Linked DNA regions of Arabidopsis thaliana. The protein of the gene in region 1 interacts with the protein of each later gene in a biochemical or structural test. Each region holds a gene or a part of one and is shown on either strand. Other genes may lie near its edges. The genes, in order: RMA2 and ABP1.

Evidence for each region.
Region 2: the proteins of RMA2 (region 1) and ABP1 form a complex in vitro, tested with the Arabidopsis thaliana proteins (one study listed by BioGRID).

Annotation. Positions count from the first base shown.
Region 1 is NC_003075.7:14,003,786-14,014,143, reverse strand, and holds RMA2 (RING membrane-anchor 2), read left to right. Parts: upstream 1-4,856; 5' UTR 4,857-5,343; intron 5,344-5,944; 5' UTR 5,945-5,948; coding exon 5,949-6,530; 3' UTR 6,531-6,669; downstream 6,670-10,358. Other genes in the region: AT4G28290 (uncharacterized protein), read left to right, coding at 1,680-1,802, 1,993-2,112; LLG3 (LORELEI-LIKE-GPI ANCHORED PROTEIN 3), read right to left, coding at 2,657-3,000, 3,131-3,187, 3,278-3,359; AT4G28260 (acyl-UDP-N-acetylglucosamine O-acyltransferase), read right to left, coding at 7,382-7,435, 7,524-7,655, 7,732-9,096. UniProt on the Arabidopsis thaliana protein: E3 ubiquitin-protein ligase that promotes the ubiquitination and proteasomal degradation of the auxin-binding protein ERABP1.
Region 2 is NC_003075.7:1,315,255-1,325,587, reverse strand, and holds ABP1 (endoplasmic reticulum auxin binding protein 1), read left to right. Parts: upstream 1-3,979; 5' UTR 3,980-4,138; coding exon 4,139-4,256; intron 4,257-4,638; coding exon 4,639-4,745; intron 4,746-4,834; coding exon 4,835-5,035; intron 5,036-5,431; coding exon 5,432-5,496; intron 5,497-5,580; coding exon 5,581-5,686; 3' UTR 5,687-5,985; downstream 5,986-10,333. Other genes in the region: AT4G03000 (RING/U-box superfamily protein), read right to left, coding at 1-986; BSM (Mitochondrial transcription termination factor family protein), read right to left, coding at 1,805-3,430; AT7SL-1 (7SL RNA1), read right to left, coding at 6,409-6,519, 7,388-8,089. UniProt on the Arabidopsis thaliana protein: Auxin receptor that controls cell elongation and cell division. Involved in embryonic morphogenesis. Acts on the cell cycle, endocycle, cell plate formation, and cell expansion and contributes to the control of auxin-related gene expression.

The DNA.
Region 1 (10,358 bases):
TCTTGAGGAGTGAGTGATATGTGAGTTCTTGAGAAATTGGAAGGGCTTTGATCTTGGTCTTGTGTTATAATCCAACCATCTTACTGCTGCTAGTTTTTGGGATCTGTAGTCACATTGGTCAGCTAAACTTGTATGAAGAACATATTGTAGTTGTCAGCATGTACCAGAAACATGAACCGGTTATATATAAAAATTATTTGGAAGTTACATCAAGAGTACGACTGTACGAGTGTTTTTTTTGGTAACTTGTTGATATATGATGTATGATATCATAGCCTCTGCATGTTTGCTTAGAGATAGTTGGTACACGTTCTTGTAATGAAACCAGTTCACAAGAATGACCGATTGACCGGTTGTGTTGGGTTACTTACATTGAGTTGTTTCATCTTCTCCTGTCCACAATCACTGTGGTTGTTAATTGTTTTACACATGTAAGAGTAAAATAAGTTGTGGGCTTGTTGGTCTTGCGGCATGATCAATAATTCACGTTAAGATACGGATATGGACCGAATAAGTTTTGGCCGGTGAAAAAGTAGAGATATGTGGACATGATTATGAGATTGCGCAAACGATAAAGTCCTTCAAAAGTAATTTTAATTATTAAGAACCCATCCCTAAAGAGATATAGCCGCAAACTTTTTTCTTTCATTTGTATCCATACATCTTTAATCAAAACTTTATTAATCATATCATTATGATCCTATACGTCACCATAAGATGCTTTTGTACGATCATGTGTTAATAACTTATTCTACTACTCTGTTTTTTTCATAAATAGTGACCGGACGTAAAATATATAGAGACGAGTATTAAAACTTAACGAGATTGTGATGTCTTTATCAAAGAATAAATGTGTTCAACATTAAATTTGACGCAGAGAAATCTCACCAGAAAACCATATGGGACTTGTTAGGTTTGGTATCCACAAATCAGTTTACATCAATTTGCATTTGAGATATGCTCTCAAAGACAAATAATCAGATCCACTTGTTCAATGCCATTGTTCACCCGTCATTTAGTGTTTCGACCTTATCTTATGAACATTTCTTTTCTTGAACCTTATCTTATGAGCATACAATACCAACAGTAATAAACGAGAAATAAGAGGGGCATAATCGTCCAATACAAAGCTGACTTTTAACATTCTCAAAACACCAACTCATAGTTGCAACATTGTCCGGACACGTGGGTTACTTACCAACCAACGATGGACCCATTTTCATTTAACAGATCAACCAATCATGTTTCTCTTTGTGTGGTTCTGACTTCAAGGCTCAAAGTACATTTCTTTTTTTCTAATGCTTTGACCATACTAACCCCCTTATTTTTCACGCTACCCATTCTTACTCCAATTAAATTCTTCTAGAAGATAAATCATTCTATTCAAAAACGTTTACCAATGATCTTAGCTGTAATTAACGCAATTAAATCATGCTTAAGGTATTTAGAAAAGGGTAAAACGGTAACATACTTTATCGATACATAAATTGGTCAACTAGCGTAATTTAACTTTTGTCCCCATTGCGTATATAAACCGTCGACTATCGAAGCCAACACCTCAATTTTTCCCACATTTTTCTCTCATCTGCCTACGGTTGCAGATTTTATTTTATTAACACAGAAAAACAAAAAAAAGTATAAACAGAGTCCACGAATTTGGGAAAGTTTAAGATCAAGACATGAAGAAAACTGGAATCATCGCAGCCTCCATCTCTGTCGCGGCTTCTGCCACGGCGATCTCCGCCGGCTCTACCAACACCTCCGTGTCATTCTCTTCGCCGGAATCTAATCTCTCTCGTCAGGTAAAAAAAGAAGAATCAAGCTCTTGTTTATTTGTTTCTCGGTAGCATTTAAAGTTCCTCCTCTGTTTCAAGTACTCACAATAAGTTTCTCATAGTCAAAAATTTATCAAATTACAAAGTTGGAGAGTTTTTAACTTTTACATGGATTCGGATGTGTAAAGAATAATTTTTAGCTGCTGATTGTGGTTAGGAGGCAAAGGAAAAACAGAGGAAGAAGAAGGGTTCGTCGGAAGATGGGGGAGATGAGAAGTTTGCTCCAAGGTTTGATGGGTTACGATTCATCGAGACGCTTGTTACTGCTCACCGATAACATTTGCATTGTTCTGATTTGTAAGGGTTCTTATTGTTTACCCCATTTGATTAACTACAAAGATTTACTGATTTTAAGTTTCGTTTTTTTTCTTTCTTTCACATCACTATTGTAACTTCGGCTTAAAGTGTACCACCAAGACAAGAGGCATGATTTATGAGGTTCATGTTTCTTCTATTTGGTTTACCAAACATGTCTTCATAAATAAACTAGTGACTCTATATGGCCTAAGAGATTAGCTCAGCCCATTAATGACCAAACACACATGTTCTTGATCCACAAAACATGTTAGGAATGCTAGTGTTATGATGTGTACCAAACACACATGTTCTAGAATTATTATTCATTGCCTAGGATTGGAACTCGGAACTTAGTCATGCAATCCCTTGAGTTCCTTAAGGTCGACTGGTAGAGTTATCGACACCGGGCATAACGAATGATGTTAATGAGAGTGCAAACAAAAATCAAACATTTACATCTATGCTCACAAAGCAACTAACAATGGAATGCAATATATAACTCATATTGTAACATTTACAAGTCTTTAGAAGAGGTGAAACAAGATGGAAACGGTGATTAGCAAAACGTGTGTGGAAACAAGAGGGATCGATGCATGGGAAGATGATGTAGGGGTGACGTCGGTGCAATCGAGACCTTCTTTGCCTTCTTTGCACATGTTAGCGAATATTCCAGGAGGATAACGACCGTAGAGATTGATGTAGCTAAACATTGTGGAGGCACAATCTGTCTTTTCATCGTTAAGAACTTCCGCGAATGGGCAAGCAAAGTCCTTGAAGGCCGAACAACATACTTTGGCCGGGTAATTTGGTCCTTTGCATTTACTCGTTATGATTGTGTAATTCTTTGCCGCAAAATCTTCTTTGCATGCTGTTAAAATGTCATTAACGTAATGATCATGGAATATTTTGCTTATTAAGCTAATAATCATCAATGAAGCTTGTTTCTAAAACACATGATTACAATCAATGGTGTAAATTTTGGGAGTTATATTACTTACTTGCCTTTGCCTGAAGAAGAGCTCGGCTTGTGGATGGGTGTGACTCAAATTCATCAACTGCACATAGAAATGTCATAAATTATTTCAAAGAAACTTCAACAATATTTTTAATAAAACGAGTAAAAGTATTAGATAATTGTAATTTACGAGAGATGTGATGAGAGAAAGCGAATCCAGACAAAAGGAGGATAGAGAGAAGAGAAACCAAACAATGATGAGTAATCTTCATGTTTTTGTTTCCTCCTCTATTTTTTGACTTTTTGTCACATTTGAGTTTCTAATCGTTTCTTGTTTTTTCTTTTTCCTGTTTCCATTAGAGTTATAGGAGGAGAGAAAAATGCTGCGGATATAGCGGATCATAAATTAGAAGAAACAACATCAATTCAGTGACATGCCAAAACAAAATAACTAGTTACTATTTTAATCGATTGAGACAAACCATCAAAGTAACAAAAAGTTTGATAGAGAAAATGAATAGATTAATTTTGGTTCAACCACCACTGGTTAATAATACCCATAATAAATTGAGAACCGCCCATTTCTTGGCTCAGTTCTCCGGATCGTAAATGCAACTTGCTCCAATAATTTCATATGAGAATTTGAAAACATTATCATGAACGTGATATATATAATATTACATATACGTTTTTTTGCGCAAAACATATTATATATACATTTAAAACATTGAGTAGATCTTGTTCTAATGATGGTGAACACACACATTGTTTTTACATTGTTGGTATAGTAGTTTTTTTTTTTTAAAGTTCAATTTTCATTTTATTGGTTGGCCATATCCAAAAATGCTTTTCAATAATGAATATTGTGAATAAATTCGGAGGCACTCAAATTGGTGATTAATTTTGGATGATTGTCTAACTTGTTTCATCAAAAATGATCTATTCGAGAGTATTACAATTTACAAGTGAAGTTGTAGTTGATAGTAGACTTTTAGATATAGTAGTCGCAAATTTAAAATTAAAAAAAAAAAAAACTATTTTACATTACACTTTACAATTGATCAAAGATTCGGAGACATGAACCGTCTAACAACCTTACTTAAATTTGTATATAAGCAGAATCAGACATAATGGTGGTGAAGGACTCAACAAATACGAATTTAAGACAGTGTTTTATTATTTCAAGGAGTGGATTTTGGGTTGCCTTCTACAATTAATAGACTTGAAATTAAATACTATGGTCTGGTGACACCAATAGCTCCTTGCTTCCGTGACGTGTAACCTAATTATCTTTGTGGTCTATAAACTAATTCAACTATTGGTTGATAAGGCCTTTGATTAAGGCTTTAGTCGCAAACTTAGTATTCTCCAGTTCCAACTTTGAATAAACAACTTACCAAATTGCCATTGTTATTCACTCAACACCTAATAGTTACAATTTCCATAAAAAAAAAAGTAAAGTACCAAAATAAGCAGAATTTTCAAAATTACTAGCATTTTTTTTTTGTTTTTTTTTTCAAGTGAATTTGATGGAGTAACGGTGCAGCCATGGAGTGCCACGTCATCGAGCTTGGTTCAGTATCTACTATTGTGTTGCCAGAAACAGAAACTGCCAAATTCTTATCTTTTGTTTTTTTCAGAGCCAAATTCTTATCTTATGAATATGATATTGGGATAAAGTTATGGGGGAATTTTGCAATTTCTGTGTATATTTCCCCTACAAAAGTCATGGTCTCATGGACTCATTAGGGCATATTTCCAATTCATACTTTTTTTTCAACATACAATTTTATTCAAACTAAAATAAATATTTTTCTATAAATATATATTTAGTTGTGTATAAATAATTATATTATCTTGTTTACTTTTTTTTAAAACGATGCTATCCGTTGCTGACCTTTTCATGAAATAAAGACAGACATGTAAGAAAAAAAAGATGAATGGCGTTTCGTTACTTTATCTACTTATTTTTAATTAGGTAGACGTTTCTTCCTCTTTAAAATCATAACTTGTCCGGATTTTAATTTTGCACACCTTAAGAAAATAAGAATAAAAATAATTGTGTATGTGTGTATAATAAGGTCTCCTGCTTCTGCACCACCCTCGATCTAAACATTCTTACCCCATTCTCTTAACCCAAATAAATCATTTTCTCTGTTCTTCTGCCATTGTCGCATGAACCTGTACAAGCTCTCTCAAGTTTCCAAAGGCTTAAAGACAGAAGAGATCCATCGGTACTTACAATCTTTCCAAAGAGTACGTTTCTTTTTTCTGGAATCATCACTCTTATTATATATTGTTGCGTGTGTCTATCTAAAGGCATCGAATTAGTAGTAGATCTGCACCGTTTTTGAGTTGCTACGCAAGAAGATGATTGTTTTCGATATACCATGTCATTTTTTAAAGGATCATAATATCACTTGTTTGTTTAATCAACCACTCCTTTGTCTTTAATTATTTAGCTTTTTTTCTTAAACAATAACGTGCTTTGGGATTAAGTGAAAACAGAGCAAAGCGTCGGAAACAGAAAGTGATTAGGTCAAGTCTTCGTAACTTCAACTTGTTAAAGAATATGATCCTTACTTTTTTGCGTCTAATCTTCTTCTTTTTTTTTTTTGGTTAGTGTAAGTTTTAAATTCAAGATCGATCATGCTAAGTATATACACAACAATTCTGTTATAATCTATATTGATCTTCATATTTTGATGATATTTCTTGTTTCTATGAAGTATCATTGATTTTATAAATCTCTAATTGGAATTAGACTTTAGTATTTACTATTTACTTATTTAGGTGAAATCTCATTAAATAAACAACGACTGGTCAAGTGAATGGTTGTTTGTCTTGTATGTTTTAGTAAAATGGAGATTGAGAAGGATGAGGACGACACAACATTGGTTGATTCTGGAGGAGACTTCGACTGCAACATATGTTTGGATCAGGTTCGAGACCCGGTCGTGACTTTATGTGGCCACCTGTTTTGTTGGCCCTGCATTCACAAGTGGACTTATGCGTCCAACAATTCAAGACAACGAGTCGATCAATACGATCATAAGAGGGAACCACCAAAATGTCCGGTATGCAAATCTGATGTCTCCGAGGCTACGCTTGTCCCGATCTACGGACGAGGACAGAAAGCTCCCCAGTCCGGTTCAAATGTACCGAGCAGACCAACTGGTCCGGTTTATGACTTAAGAGGAGTTGGTCAACGTTTAGGAGAAGGGGAGAGTCAACGTTACATGTATAGAATGCCTGATCCGGTGATGGGTGTGGTATGCGAAATGGTATACCGGAGACTATTTGGAGAGTCTTCGAGCAACATGGCACCTTACCGCGATATGAATGTCCGGTCTAGGCGACGGGCAATGCAGGCTGAGGAGTCATTAAGCAGAGTCTACTTGTTTCTACTTTGCTTCATGTTTATGTGTCTATTTCTCTTCTAATTATAATATATATGTGTATATAATATACCAATTGGAATGAGTATGCATATATGTAATAACAATTTGTATATTTTTAAGAGTCTTGAATCGTTGAAATTGTATGATGAGCATATAATAACGTCCAAAGAAAGAAACGACACCAAATGGCTTCTTCTTTATTCGATATATCATGGGATGATGTGGGAAGATGAGAGCATGGGTTAAAAAGGAGGCTTATCTTCAACTCAAATAGATTTGTGCTCCAAAAAAGCTGATAGTGGCATTCGAATGCGACGCAAATGGTGTTGCTTATGTCGGATTACAATCGTTTAAAACCAAACCAACTTTTACAAAAAAAAAGAAAAAAAAAAGTGAGAATAGGGGGCCCTAGATTTGATTGATAACGGCGAATCGAATACGACTGTTAGATAAAGAAGTAGAAACATTAATTTGCAGTACGAGTCTTTCTTTATACATTAAAAATGTTGCAAAGAAAATTGGTAAAGTGATTGGAGTGAGCTGGTTTCATTAAAAGCATAGACTAGTATGAGATGAGTTCATGGCCTTATGGGTCGGGTCCGATCGAGACAATCCCTCATTCATGGGATCGATTTTTTCTATCTGCAAAAGTTTTAATTTAATTTGCCTATTTCCACTTCTTATAGGTTTTAAAAAGTTCGAATTTCCTTGTTGGTATCTATACAGTTTTAAGTCATAAATCTCTAGACAGGAAAACAAGTTGAGACAAAAGAATAAATTGGGCTTCAAAGTAATCATCAGATAGTAAGAAAGTAAATGTAAATTTACAGTGAACTGTAAAATGAGAGACGAAGCCCTTATTTACACAAGAGGAAATGAGTATGTTTCCTACATTACAACTCCACTCGGTAGAAGCGAACCAGTTTCATCATCTGCACTCTCTCCTCCTGCATCATCCACATTTTGATCTCTCTATTTACCACCAAGTTTGTAACACGACAATAAAAAATGGATACGAGGTGCAATAATATTTACCTGAACCGGAATCTGTTCCGTCTCCTCAGCCTGCTGCGGAAAATGAAATCCGGTTGAGCAATTCTTCAATCTCTCCGGATTTTTAACCCATGCTTTTCTACCTTCACTCACTTTCACCTGGAACCTCCATGTCTACCACATCGACATATACGTTAGGTTCAAACCCGTTAAGAAAAACGCTATTTGAGTGAATCAAACACATATATACCTGAGAAAGTGGAAACGTGTCTCTCTCAATCACAGCTCCTTCGATATTTATGCCAGTGCCTTGGCATTCTGGACAGAACACCGAAAATATTTGCCAGCTCACATCGTTTGCCAACTCATTCCACTTTACACCAGTCTGACCACTATGCTTTGTGCATCTCTTTTTTCCTTTTCCACTCACCATCTTGTTCCCAAGTATTTCACTCTCACAGAAGAGAAACCAGTGTACGACACACGACACATGAAATAGATGAAACGCCCCCAGGAGGTTTCTGCTGCCACAAGCAAGATTTCCCGTCTTCATGTTTAGTATTGCTGCCGCATCTTTCCCTGGAAGCATCTTTTGTTTACAGACTTCGCATATTCTTTCAGAAAATATTCGTTGTTGCCTCCTCAGCTCCCGTCTTACCGTTCTGTTCTTCACGACTCTTTTGCTCATGAGACTATCATCATAATCAGCTATTAGATCTCTTGACGAGTTTGAATTATGACCTGAAGAAACCTCCTCAGAAGAGTCATACTGATTACACAGAGATTCACTGGTGTCCTCTGGATCCGAGAAAGACTTCTTTCTCTTCCTGCCACTGTCCTCACCATTCCCTGATTCTGACTGACTAGATGTGAGAAGACGGCCCGGATCATCAAGCAAACCCAGCCTACCCAAATTGTAGAAGTAGGAGAATGTGACAATGGCAAAGTCATGCTCCGGGATCGTAGCCTTCTCCTCATCTGAAGGACCCTCGTCTCCTAACCACTCGCACCATAGTTTATCAATCCAAGTTGTGCGTCCTTTCGTTTCAAACAACCTGGCAGCTATTCGGCCAAAACCAATGAACTTTGCTTCAACATCAAGAGTTCTCTCCTTGATCAGCACACCAGAAATTAGCAGATCATCTGCAGCGTGACTAGGTTCATCATCAGTAACTGCAGCAGGCACATTATCTCCATTTGTTTTGTTGTTATCATACTTGACAATAGCAAATCTTTCATCATCACTACAATGCTCCAACGTATCAGGAACCCCTTCACCACCAGAAACTGGAGATTTCTCTTCTTCTTCTCCAGTTGAACTATCAAAGAAAAGTACACCATCACTGAAAGGCCAAGGATTCGTTCCAAGAAGTGTGATCCTAGCACATGCCAATCTCTCCTTGTGAAGGTTTCCATTCAAGTGCCCAAGCAAGATTGTGTCGCTGTAGCAAGGAGCAAGACACAAAGTGCAGAAGAATACAAAACGTTTCCCATCCTCACGTAGCTCAATGTAAGTATGCCCTTGTAACCTCAGATTCTTCAGAGTAGTTCTTGCTAATTGCTCTTTCAAATTAATACTAGGCTTTGGTAACCCTAATTCTTTCTTCTCAGCCATTCAGAGATCCAACAGACACAAACAACTTCACGACTCAACAAACCCTAAAAGAAAACCCCCAATTCCACAATCCTAAGAAGTTTCAGAGTACAAACACAATCTTCTAAATTCTTCACCAGAAAAGATCACTTACCTAAAATAAGACTACACAAGACGCTACAGGTAATCACAGCTTCGATTGGATCTGGAAATTCAGATGCAAAGGAAAAACAAACGGAGGAACTACTAAAGGGAAGAGGAAGAGTCGAATCAACAGAGTTTACTTCCACATATTCGAGGCGTATTCGGAACAGGACTTGTAGGAGATGGTTTCATACGAACACCGGCAAAAAGGTCAACGCGAGACATGGAACGATGAAGATGGAGAGAAGAACGCGAGTCCAACGCCGCCAACATTTCCATGTATTTCACGCGGAACTCGCGAGCACAAATTTCTCTCTGAGGAATTCGAATTGACCGGAGAACGGAGAAGAAACGACGGAGACTTTGTTTTGTACAGAGCGGTGGTTTCTTGTTAAAAGAAGAAAGAACGAAAATGGTTTAACCGAAATTGAAGAAAAGCTTGTCTCCTCTTTTTACTCGTGGAAATTAATTCTTGTATTTAAAGTATTCACGGAAAGCATGTGTGTATCAATTATTAACCGTTGGATTTTAGATGGACGGTGGAGATCTACTTTTTAGTTTTATTTTTGTCGTCTAGTTTCTTTTTATTATTGGTGTGAGATTCGAATTTTCTGAAAAGAGATACCATGTCCCGCTGGGATGGATAAACTTCAACATTAGTTTATTTTGTTAAGAATTAAATGAGAAACTTATTCCTCATTATTTTATTTCGACTCCTTAGCTTTTTATATCTTTCGATATTCAACCCCTAACTTTAGTTATATTCTTCATTTGACCACACATCTTGTATTGATTGACACAGGCAACCTTGTTTTTGTTGTGTAGGCCTAAGTTCATGGCTACAGAACATAATTCTTGAAGATTAAAATGCTAATGGTGTTCACAAGGAGGAGTTTAACATTTTCTAATCTTTTTTGTTACCTTTCAAATAGAAATCTCATATACTAGGATAAGTATACATATTTCAGTAATCATATAACAAATATTTACCGCTGAAGTCATCAAACTTATATATCTGTGTTAGTGTGTGTAGTAGATAAAGCTACATATTTGCAACCTGATCATTGGCTGTTGTTGCTTGCTGTGAGAATATTGGTTCAAGTCCATCTGGTTTAGTATTCGTTTCTGGTTTAAAGAGC
Region 2 (10,333 bases), about 13 Mb from region 1:
TTCTGCCGTAGCATGGCCATTTCTTTTTTGGTGCGGCCTTTTCGACAAGATACTAATTTTTCATCAGAAACAGAAGTCAGGGATGCACTTTTAGTGCCTTCACCAGAAGCAGTGGAAACAGAAAATACCTCTTTTCCAGGTGTTGCTCCACTAGCATGAGGATTTTTGGAGTTGTTTACATTTGCGAAGTTCCCAAATTTGACTGGCTCACTCTGCTTGCTTTGAGTATTGGATACTGGAGCCTTTGGGTTATCTGCGTCACTGGATTTTGGAGGATTACACTCAGCAACTGGAGATTCCGATGATTTACTAGCATTGGAAACCGAAGAGCCCTCCAATCCATCTGCGTCCACTTCAAAAGCTTTCAAAACATTCAAGTCACAAATCAACAGCCTCCACATAGCTTCGTCCGTTGAAAGCGATGGTCTAACCTCCCTAACAAGACTTATCTTCTCTACCAAACTATACGCAACAAGCTGTTGCAAATCCTCAAACACATAGTCTCTGGAACCAGCAACTTTTTTGCCACTCTTCAAAAAACTCAAGGTATCGTTAACAATATTAGACACGAGATCAGTTCCACCACAGTAGAACCTACTGCTTGAAATAGCTTTGAGAACAACATCCTCACTATACCCACAATCCATAATCTGATTCATTGCACTACGAAAGAGCGTGAGCAAATTTGACGATAATAGTCCTTCAAGGTGACAAGCAAACGGATCATCCCATCCCACAGAATCAGACTCTTCGGCTTTCAGCTGCCCGTTGGAGTCATTTTCACACAAAGGGCTTTGAGATTTGAACGAATGTAACTCATATCGAGGGAACTCAGTCAAAGAAGCAGCATTTTGTGGAGAAGGATCAGCTAACTTTCTCTTGTTCTTCCTTCCTTTATCTTGCGGTGGTGACACTGAAGAAGACGTCCCCACTTTCCCACCATTGACAGCACCAAACTCATTCATTTCTTCTTGCTTCTCAACCATTAAGCAATAATTCCCTGAGATTATGATTGTTTCCAAATTATAAACACAGAGATAACAAAAATGATTCAATAATTCAAGTATTGAATAAGCTTTGAGATAATCCCAAATTCCAGTAGCAAACTTTTCATGAAAACACCAAAACAATCGGCAAAATTCCAGAAACTAATTAAATTCCCAGAACAAATCAACACAATTCCACACACGATTTCTCAAACATAGCAGCTCAATCAGAATGCAATCGAATCAGGATAAAAAACCAAATCGTTTGATCATTCAACCAAATAACAAAACACGGTGCCGCAAACTGACCGGAAACGCAAGAAACCGCGGGAAGAAAAAAAGACGATCGGAAGAGAATTCGATGAGAGATAGGGATTGATGAATATATATATATATATATTAAGAGTGTTGTTGCAGAGAGCGAGAGGGCACTGTGATAAAGAGAACAAGTGCGTGGCTACAAGACGAAGAAGGAGCCCAACAAAATTGATCGTGAGCTTTTATTTTCTTTCTTTGGGTAACACAAAAGAGGGTTGGTGCTTAGGAAAAAAAAAATCATAATTACTGATTTGCCCCTGAGGGTATTTTAGTCATTACAATTTCTGGTCCATATTGTTCTGATTTCAACAACATGATGAACAAAAGAATCGATGACAAGGATGGATAAGAGAGAATGCTAATCTGATCAACAAAGAATCTGTTCGAAAATTCAAAGTAAATCATTCATTCTCCTCTCATGATGATGATACATCAAGACATGAAGCTTGTTCTTCGATTCATTGTCTGTATTTGGACCTTTTCTTTGTTGAACTCCGGGTTTATGCAAACTCCTCGTCGTCATCATCTTCTTCTTCCTCGTACTCGGAATCAGATTCCTCCTCTCTTTCAGGTTGCATCAATGTATTCATGTCAAAAGAAGATGGATCAGTTTCTACCTCTTCTATATCTATTGTGTCGTAGCTCATTCTCTGTTCGAACTTCTCATCTGAACAGTTTAGCATCCAAGCCAATGAACATTTGATTCCCTTCTTGATTATCTTCTTGTGTCTCGGCTTTACCGTGGACTCAAGCCCATACGTAAAGAATGCGGGGAAATCCACAAGGTCTTGAAGAGGTCTTTTCATTTCCTTTTGGAAGTACTCAAAGCTGAGTTTCATTATTCCGAGGTTCAAAGCCAGAACCTGAGGACACCCGATTACCATTTCCCTTGTTTGGTCTATCGAAAATCCACACTTGGTAAGGAAATCAATGTGCTTTAACATAGGAGACTCGCTGAGACTAACAAACTGCGGCATTCTCTCGATCAAAGAGCCAAGATCCTCTGGATTTAGATGAATGGCTGAACAAAGTAGCTTCCTCTGTGTGTCGAGCTTAGGTTTAAGGTCGATTCCGATGATTTCAGGATACTGCGCAATTATAGAAGGAAGAGATGTTTCTCTGACATTGAAATCTTGCAGGATTTGCACGTTTGGTTTCACCGTATCATCCAATTCAAACCCGAGTATGTGAGGCCGCTTCTCTATCAACCTAGCTGCAGCCAGTCTCGGAATACCAAGAACCTCGAGATACTCCACGAGAGGCTTAATTATCCGAGCTACCCGCATTCCCAAAATCTCAGGGTACCGTGTTAAAATACCCCCAATCTCCCTCCTAGCTACACCTATACCAACCAAATAAGCGACTGATGTGCTCATAGTCCCTTCCAGCTTAAACCCCAAAACTTCTGGATACCTCTCAAGCACCCGAGGTACATCACTCGGTTTAATATCCAGTCCTTGAAGATACTTAACCACCGGTGCAAGATCTATAACAACGCTAGAGTGAAGAACCTGCGGGTATCTTCTAAGAAACTCAGTGAAAGTCGATTTCCTGACGCCTAGTTTCCCGAGATAATCAAGAACCGGAACCATGTTCTTCTTCACGCTACAACCAAGAACAAGAGGGTAATTGTTGATATCTTCAATGGTAAGCCCTAACTTGTGAAGAAACTCGACACGCTCTTTCATCACATCAGCTGTTACAGGGAGTTCAAGGCCATCAAGCTCATCAGGAACAATCCCAATCCCACGCAAGAACTCATAAACCTTAGCACGATTAGCAGCTTTCTCCTTATTCATATCTAACAAACTAGGACGACTATACAAAGACTTAGAATCTCTTCCCTTATCCTTATCTCTATCCCTATCCCTTCCCGAAGAAGAAGAAGAACGAGAAGACCTTTCTCTTCTCGGTGAATCCAAAGAACGTGAAGAAAATCTCCGATTTGCAATAGCGCATTGAACAGTTAGACCAATTCCAGTCCCAGGTCTCTTCTTGTGGTTGCATAAGTTGCCATAAGTGGAATCAGAGAGTGAACGAGATCTAACGGCAAAAAAAGATGGTGGCTCAAAGTGAACTAGCAAAAACCCAGGCTTTGTGAAGCCATTACAGAACCTAATCTTCATTCTTTACCTGCACAAAAACGGAACAACACTAAAATCGACGATTATCAACGAGAAAATCATACCAATTCGGACTAACCCAGACAATTTTACAGTACAATTAGCTCAGAAAACTCCGAAAAAATACCATCATTCATGTTCATGTTAACATCAACGAACCAAAAAACCATAACCTAACTAGAAGCAAACCACAGAAACTATGGAATAAGGAGAATTGGACCAGCGTGTGATTGAAATCTCACCGGAGCTGAGGAAAGATATCGGAGAAGACGAGGGTTTTAGAGGAGCGGGTAAGGTTTTTTCCTCATCACACAACAAAGTCACTCTCTTTCTCCATTGAAATGATTTATCCGAATTATTGACGTTCTCCCCCTTATTTCTTATATTTCCCATTATTGCCCTATACTATCTGAAATTATCACATTAAACCAATACGTATATGATTACTTTGGATGTGATATAAATTAATAAAAAAACTATATATCATCAAAACTTTCTCTTAATATTTCTAAAATTAATTAATTCCCTCCTTTTATCTTCAACATTGGATTATCGAAAATGAAAAATAGTATTTTCTGACTCTTTTTTATAGTATCGGGTTTAATTCAGAAATATATAAAGCTTTGGGGTCTGTTTCGAAGTATCTTTACTCTTTTAACAGTTCTGAGACTTCTAAAGAGAGGAAAATTAGTTCGTCGAAGCATCGAGAAAATGATCGTACTTTCTGTTGGTTCCGCTTCTTCATCTCCGATCGTCGTCGTCTTTTCCGTCGCGCTTCTTCTGTTCTACTTCTCTGAAACTTCTCTAGGAGCTCCTTGTCCCATCAATGGTGCGTTTCGCCTGTTTTCATCCCTACTCGCCATTAGATTGTATCTAGTTATATTGTGAATGCAGATTTCATCTTGTTTATCTATGTATCAGTGATAGAATCTAAGGTCTTAGTTAGCTGTGAAATCGTATGTCCTGGTAGAATCAGATGGACCAAAATGTGCTGAACTTGTGATTGATTTTAACTCTAAATTAGGTTTATGGAGGTGTTTCAGAATGCTTCATAGTGAATTTGGTTGCTGATATGGTACAGATTCGCTGCAATTTCATCGATCTGTAGCTTATTAGAGGATCCAAAATTTGTTTAGAAATGCTTACATAGCTTAAATACTTAGAAATTGTGATGTTAATACTGGTTCTTGACTCTTGAATGGTGATTCTAGGCTTGCCAATCGTGAGGAATATTAGTGACCTTCCTCAGGATAACTATGGAAGACCAGGTCTTTCCCACATGACTGTTGCTGGCTCCGTATTGCATGGAATGAAAGAGGTAATGTTCAAAGCTGATAGAGGTTTAAAACTCTTTCCATTGGTATCCGCTCGGCTCTTATCTGTGTTTTTTCATGGTTGGATGTTCAGGTTGAAATATGGCTTCAGACATTTGCTCCAGGTTCAGAGACACCAATTCACAGGCACTCCTGTGAAGAGGTTTTTGTTGTCCTAAAGGGCAGTGGTACTCTGTATCTCGCTGAAACACATGGAAATTTCCCTGGGAAACCAATCGAATTTCCAATCTTTGCCAACAGTACAATTCATATTCCGATCAATGATGCTCATCAGGTATCTCTTTCTACCTCCCACATCGTTTCAGATGACTTGGCTCTTTCCTTGATTCTTAGAGTTTGAAATCCTAGATTGTTAGAGTTTCCCCTTTAATTGTAATCTTGATTGAGGGCAAAAGAAACTCCATGTAAGGCTGATGATAAACAATCCAATTTCGTATGCAACAGATGTTAGTTGAGCAAAAACATACTATTATGTTTAAGATTGCTTGAGAGTGTTAGAGGTGCCGCAGGTCCTATGTCACATGTAGAGACAATTATTAGAAAACTGACCTTTTCGCTAACGTTGTGTATATTCTTATGAATCAGTGAAAGATGACGTTTTCTTCTGCTAAAATAACTTTTGTGTTATCTTATGAAACTAGCTCACAATCATCTATTACGGTTCTTACAGGTCAAAAACACCGGTCATGAGGACCTGCAGGTGTTGGTTATCATATCTCGGCCGCCTATTAAAATGTATGTAACATCCTTTTTGAGGAATTTGCTTATAGATCATTATGTGTAGATGTATCCTTTTACTAATCGTTTGTTTTTAAATAGCTTCATCTACGAAGACTGGTTTATGCCACACACTGCTGCAAGGCTGAAGTTCCCTTACTATTGGGATGAGCAATGCATTCAAGAATCACAAAAAGACGAGCTTTAAAGCAAAGTCCGAGGCTAAAAGCAAGCACAACCTTTAGATAGTAAAATCATAGTTGAGGTTTTGTGACACTACGTAGATACTGGTAAATTGGCAAGGATTTTACATGAATGTTGTTGTTACCAGAAAGTAAATAAATGTTCAATCTTTGATGTTCTTAAGTAAGTGAGTCCTATTGGTCATGAAAATATGTAAGTGTGCACATCTTGATTGCATTTGCGATAAATTTATAGAGTTTCACTCACTTTTATTTTCCTCTTCTATATTCAAATCATAGCTCTTCGAAGACAAGAGGACATCAGAATCATAGCTTTTTTTGTGTCTTGTCTTGATATATATATACCTCTTCGAAGAAGTTGATGATGCAGTCGTTTATTTTGTCTCCATGTGAGAAAGTGATCAATGACACTCACAAATCTAGTAGTGGCTGAATTGGCTCGATGTTAAATGCAAACTAACGAAGTCTCATCAAATAATAACTCTTCTTCTTGCATTTGCTTTCTTTGCCCCTTTCTCTCTTCTTCCATCTCAAATCTGTCTCTTCAATATTACTATTGGGCTTTTGGTTAGTCTATAATGGGACTCAAAATAAGGCTTTGGCCCACATCATAAAAGATAAATTCACAAATCAAAACTAATTTTCAGAGTCTTTTGTCCCACATCGGTCAATCTACTCGTTTTGTGTTTGTTTATATATTACACGAAACGATGTATTCAACGTCGAGCTAAGTAACAATAGCTTGTAACCCATGTGGGGACATTAAGATGGTGGGACACTGGTTCGGTTCCTCGGATCGGTTCTGATGTGGGCATGTTTCTGAGCTGCCCAGTCCAAGCTGTGAGTAATTAGTGTTGAGTTGAGCGAAGGCTTGGCTCATGCAGGTTCTAGAGTCGGAGGGTAATGCGTGAGGCTGGCTTCACAGAGCAGCGACTACTTCCCGCTTACAGCAGTGGACGGATCACGGTTTAGCGTCGCTCAGAACCACTATGGCCTGCTGGTCCGATCTCATATGAACCACCATTTTTTTCCCTCTTTTGATTTTTGTTTTCCAAAACTTTCTACGCTTTTTGTTTATATTTTAAGAGGGAACAAAAGCAAACTTTGAACAAAGCAAGAGAATGACTGATTCTCTTTCAATACTCTGTTTTTGTGTATAAGAAAATACCCTTCTTGAGGCAGCTTTTACTCACCTTCCTCTTCAATCTTCATCAACTCGTTTCTCAGTTCTTTCACGTTATCGTTCATTAGTTGCAGAGTGTTTTGACGCAATTAGTATTTTGATTGTTTTTTTGGTTAAGTTTTTGAGTAAAGCAAGAGACTTTACTGTCTTTCTGCCCTGTTTTATCAACAAAGATTCAACATTTGATCTTCATACTTGTTGCTGTAACTAGACATTGAAAAATACCAAAAGAAATGTGAACTAGACCACCCGATCGTAATGTTTTCTAGAGAATGTACAGAGCTAATTTCGAAAAGATGTAACTCAAGAAGAAAGCTATGAACTTACATGTCTTAGCATATTTGAAGAAAGCTATGAACTTTGAACAAAGCAAGAAAACTTGAAGAAAGACTAAAAACTAGGTATGAGAAAAGAGGAGACTGCAAAAAGGCACGAGTCTACGGATAATCTCAATTGTATCGCCATCAGCAACACGGTTCCACTTGAATGACTTAGTTTCGGTCAATGGTAACTCACTGCTTACCAAGTGAAACGCTTCGTGAGGCAGATTTAACTCACCCCTCTCTTGCATCTTAACCAGCTCTTTCCTCAGTTCTTCGACGTTATCATCTGCGTTAACCTCTACATGAATCATCCTGGTATCTTCTTGATATGGCTTCACATGTACTGTAAACTTCATCGGGTTGGTCTTGATCTTCTTTTCCACAGGCGAATCTGAATCTCTAAGGACCTCTTTGGCTGTGCCTGACGTTGAAGCTTGCTCGGTGGGTTGAACCACTTGATTTGTTCTGCCTCCAACCGCCACAGTTGCTGAATATTTAGGGCCAAGTAACTCATCAAGTGAATAAGCCGGTAGTGATGAATATATATTGTGGACTCTCCTCGCCATCACCCTCGTGATCTTTTTGCTCTCCGATGAATCTTGAATGCCACAGAACTCTTGTTTCTTATCATCAATTTGTTTTGATTGCTCGGTTTGCTCGTTGCTCTGATTAGGGTCAGCATCAGGAGAGATGCGGAGAAGGAGACGAGATTCGAAGAGGATCATGTAATCAATCTTATGAAGATCATCTTCAAGAGCCTTGCCATCCAAGTAAAGGATTTGTTTCGAAACAGGGATACCTTGAGACTTCTCGATCTTCTCTTTTATCTCTAACACTGTTTCGCCGAAATCAATAGTAATGGAGAACGATGAGCCAGTCTCAGTATCGATGTACACGTTCATCGTTGTAGTTTCAAGATCAGTGGAGAGAGACTAATGAGGAAGAGAGAAAGAGAAACTGATGATTTGTGACGAGAGTTTGCTAATTTCGTGATTTGGCTTAAATATCACTAGTCAAAGAATTCTAACCGTCGATTTCTCTCCTTACTGATATGATCCAACGGTTATTAGTCGCAGAGTGTTTATAAGCAAATTAGTAATGTGATTTTTCTTTGGTTTTAGTTTTTGAATAAAGCAAGAAACTTTACTGTCTTTTGCTCTGTTTTGTCAATAAAGATTCTATTGAGGATATGATTGATATCCTAGATTGCTACTGTCATGGATACACATATGTAAAGTCGTATATATTCTCATTCATTACGTTGATGTACCCTAGCTACTCACTCTTGTATATATATTGTGATTCTCACTATGTAATGAAATCATCTCTTCTATAAACATCTATATGGTATCAAGAGCTTAGATCCATAAAAAAATAAAAAAAATTAAAAAAAAATTTTTCCTCTTTCTTCGTTCTCTCTCCTTCAATGGCTACTCACGCTGAAGAAATCGTTCTCGTCAACACCAACATCCTCAACGTGAACATGAGTAACGTTACCAAACTCACCAGCACTAACTACCTCATGTGGAGCCGCCAGGTTCATGCGCTCTTCGATGGCTATGAACTCGCCGGTTTTCTCGATGGCTCTACACCCATGCCGCCTGCAACCATTGGCACAGATGCGGTTCCTCGTGTCAATCCCGACTACACTCGCTGGAGAAGACAAGACAAGCTCATCTACAGTGCAATCCTTGGAGCCATCTCTATGTCCGTACAACCTGCGGTATCTCGAGCCACTACAGCGGCTCAGATCTGGGAGACACTTCGCAAGATCTATGCGAATCCAAGCTATGGTCATGTCACTCAACTCCGTACGTAGCTGAAGCAATGGACGAAGGGTGCCAAAACCATCGATGACTATATGCAAGGATTCATCACTAGATTCGATCAACTTGCGCTTCTTGGAAAACCTATGGACCATGACGAGCAAGTAGAACGTGTGCTGGAAAATCTGCCTGATGATTACAAACCAGTGATAGATCAAATTGCCGCCAAAGATACCCCACCGTCTCTCACAGAGATCCATGAGAGGCTGATAAATCGAGAGAGCAAACTTCTTGCTTTGAACTCGGCAGAGGTCGTACCAATCACTGCCAATGTCGTTACTCACCGCAACACCAACACCAACCGTAATCAGAACAATCGTGGAGACAACCGCAACTACAACAACAACAACAATCGCTCAAACTCTTGGCAGCCATCGTCTTCTGGCTCTCGATCCGATAATCGCCAGCCCAAACCCTACTTGGGCCGATGCCAAATATGTAGCGTGCAAGGACACAGTGCCAAACGCTGCCCTCAACTTCATCAATTCCAATCAACCACCAATCAACAGCAATCGACTTCTCCGTTCACTCCATGGCAGCCCCGCGCCAATCTCGCTGTCAACTCTCCATACAATGCCAACAACTGGCTTCTTGACAGCGGAGCAACCCACCATATCACGTCGGACTTCAACAATCTGTCTTTCCATCAACCTTACACCGGTGGTGATGATGTTATGATTGCCGATGGATCCACAATTCCCATAACACACACTGGTTCTGCCTCTCTACCTACTAGTTCTCGCTCACTAGATCTTAACAAAGTTCTATATGTTCCAAATATACACAAAAACTTAATCTCTGTGTATCGCTTATGCAACACTAATCGTGTCTCTGTGGAATTCTTTCCTGCATCCTTTCAGGTGAAGGATCTCAACACGGGGGTCCCATTACTCCAAGGCAAAACTAAAGATGAGTTGTATGAGTGGCCTATTGCATCGTCTCAAGCGGTATCTATGTTTGCGTCTCCATGCTCTAAAGCTACTCATTCTTCATGGCATTCCCGTCTCGGCCATCCTTCATTGGCGATTTTAAATTCAGTTATTTCCAATCATTCACTTCCAGTTTTAAACCCCTCTCATAAACTTCTTTCTTGCTCAGATTGTTTTATCAATAAAAGTCATAAAGTGCCTTTTTCAAATTCAACAATCACTTCGTCTAAACCATTGGAATACATTTATTCGGATGTGTGGAGTTCCCCAATTCTTTCTATTGATAATTATCGCTATTATGTCATCTTTGTTGATCATTTCACCCGTTATACATGGTTATATCCATTAAAACAGAAATCTCAAGTGAAAGATACGTTCATTATCTTCAAGA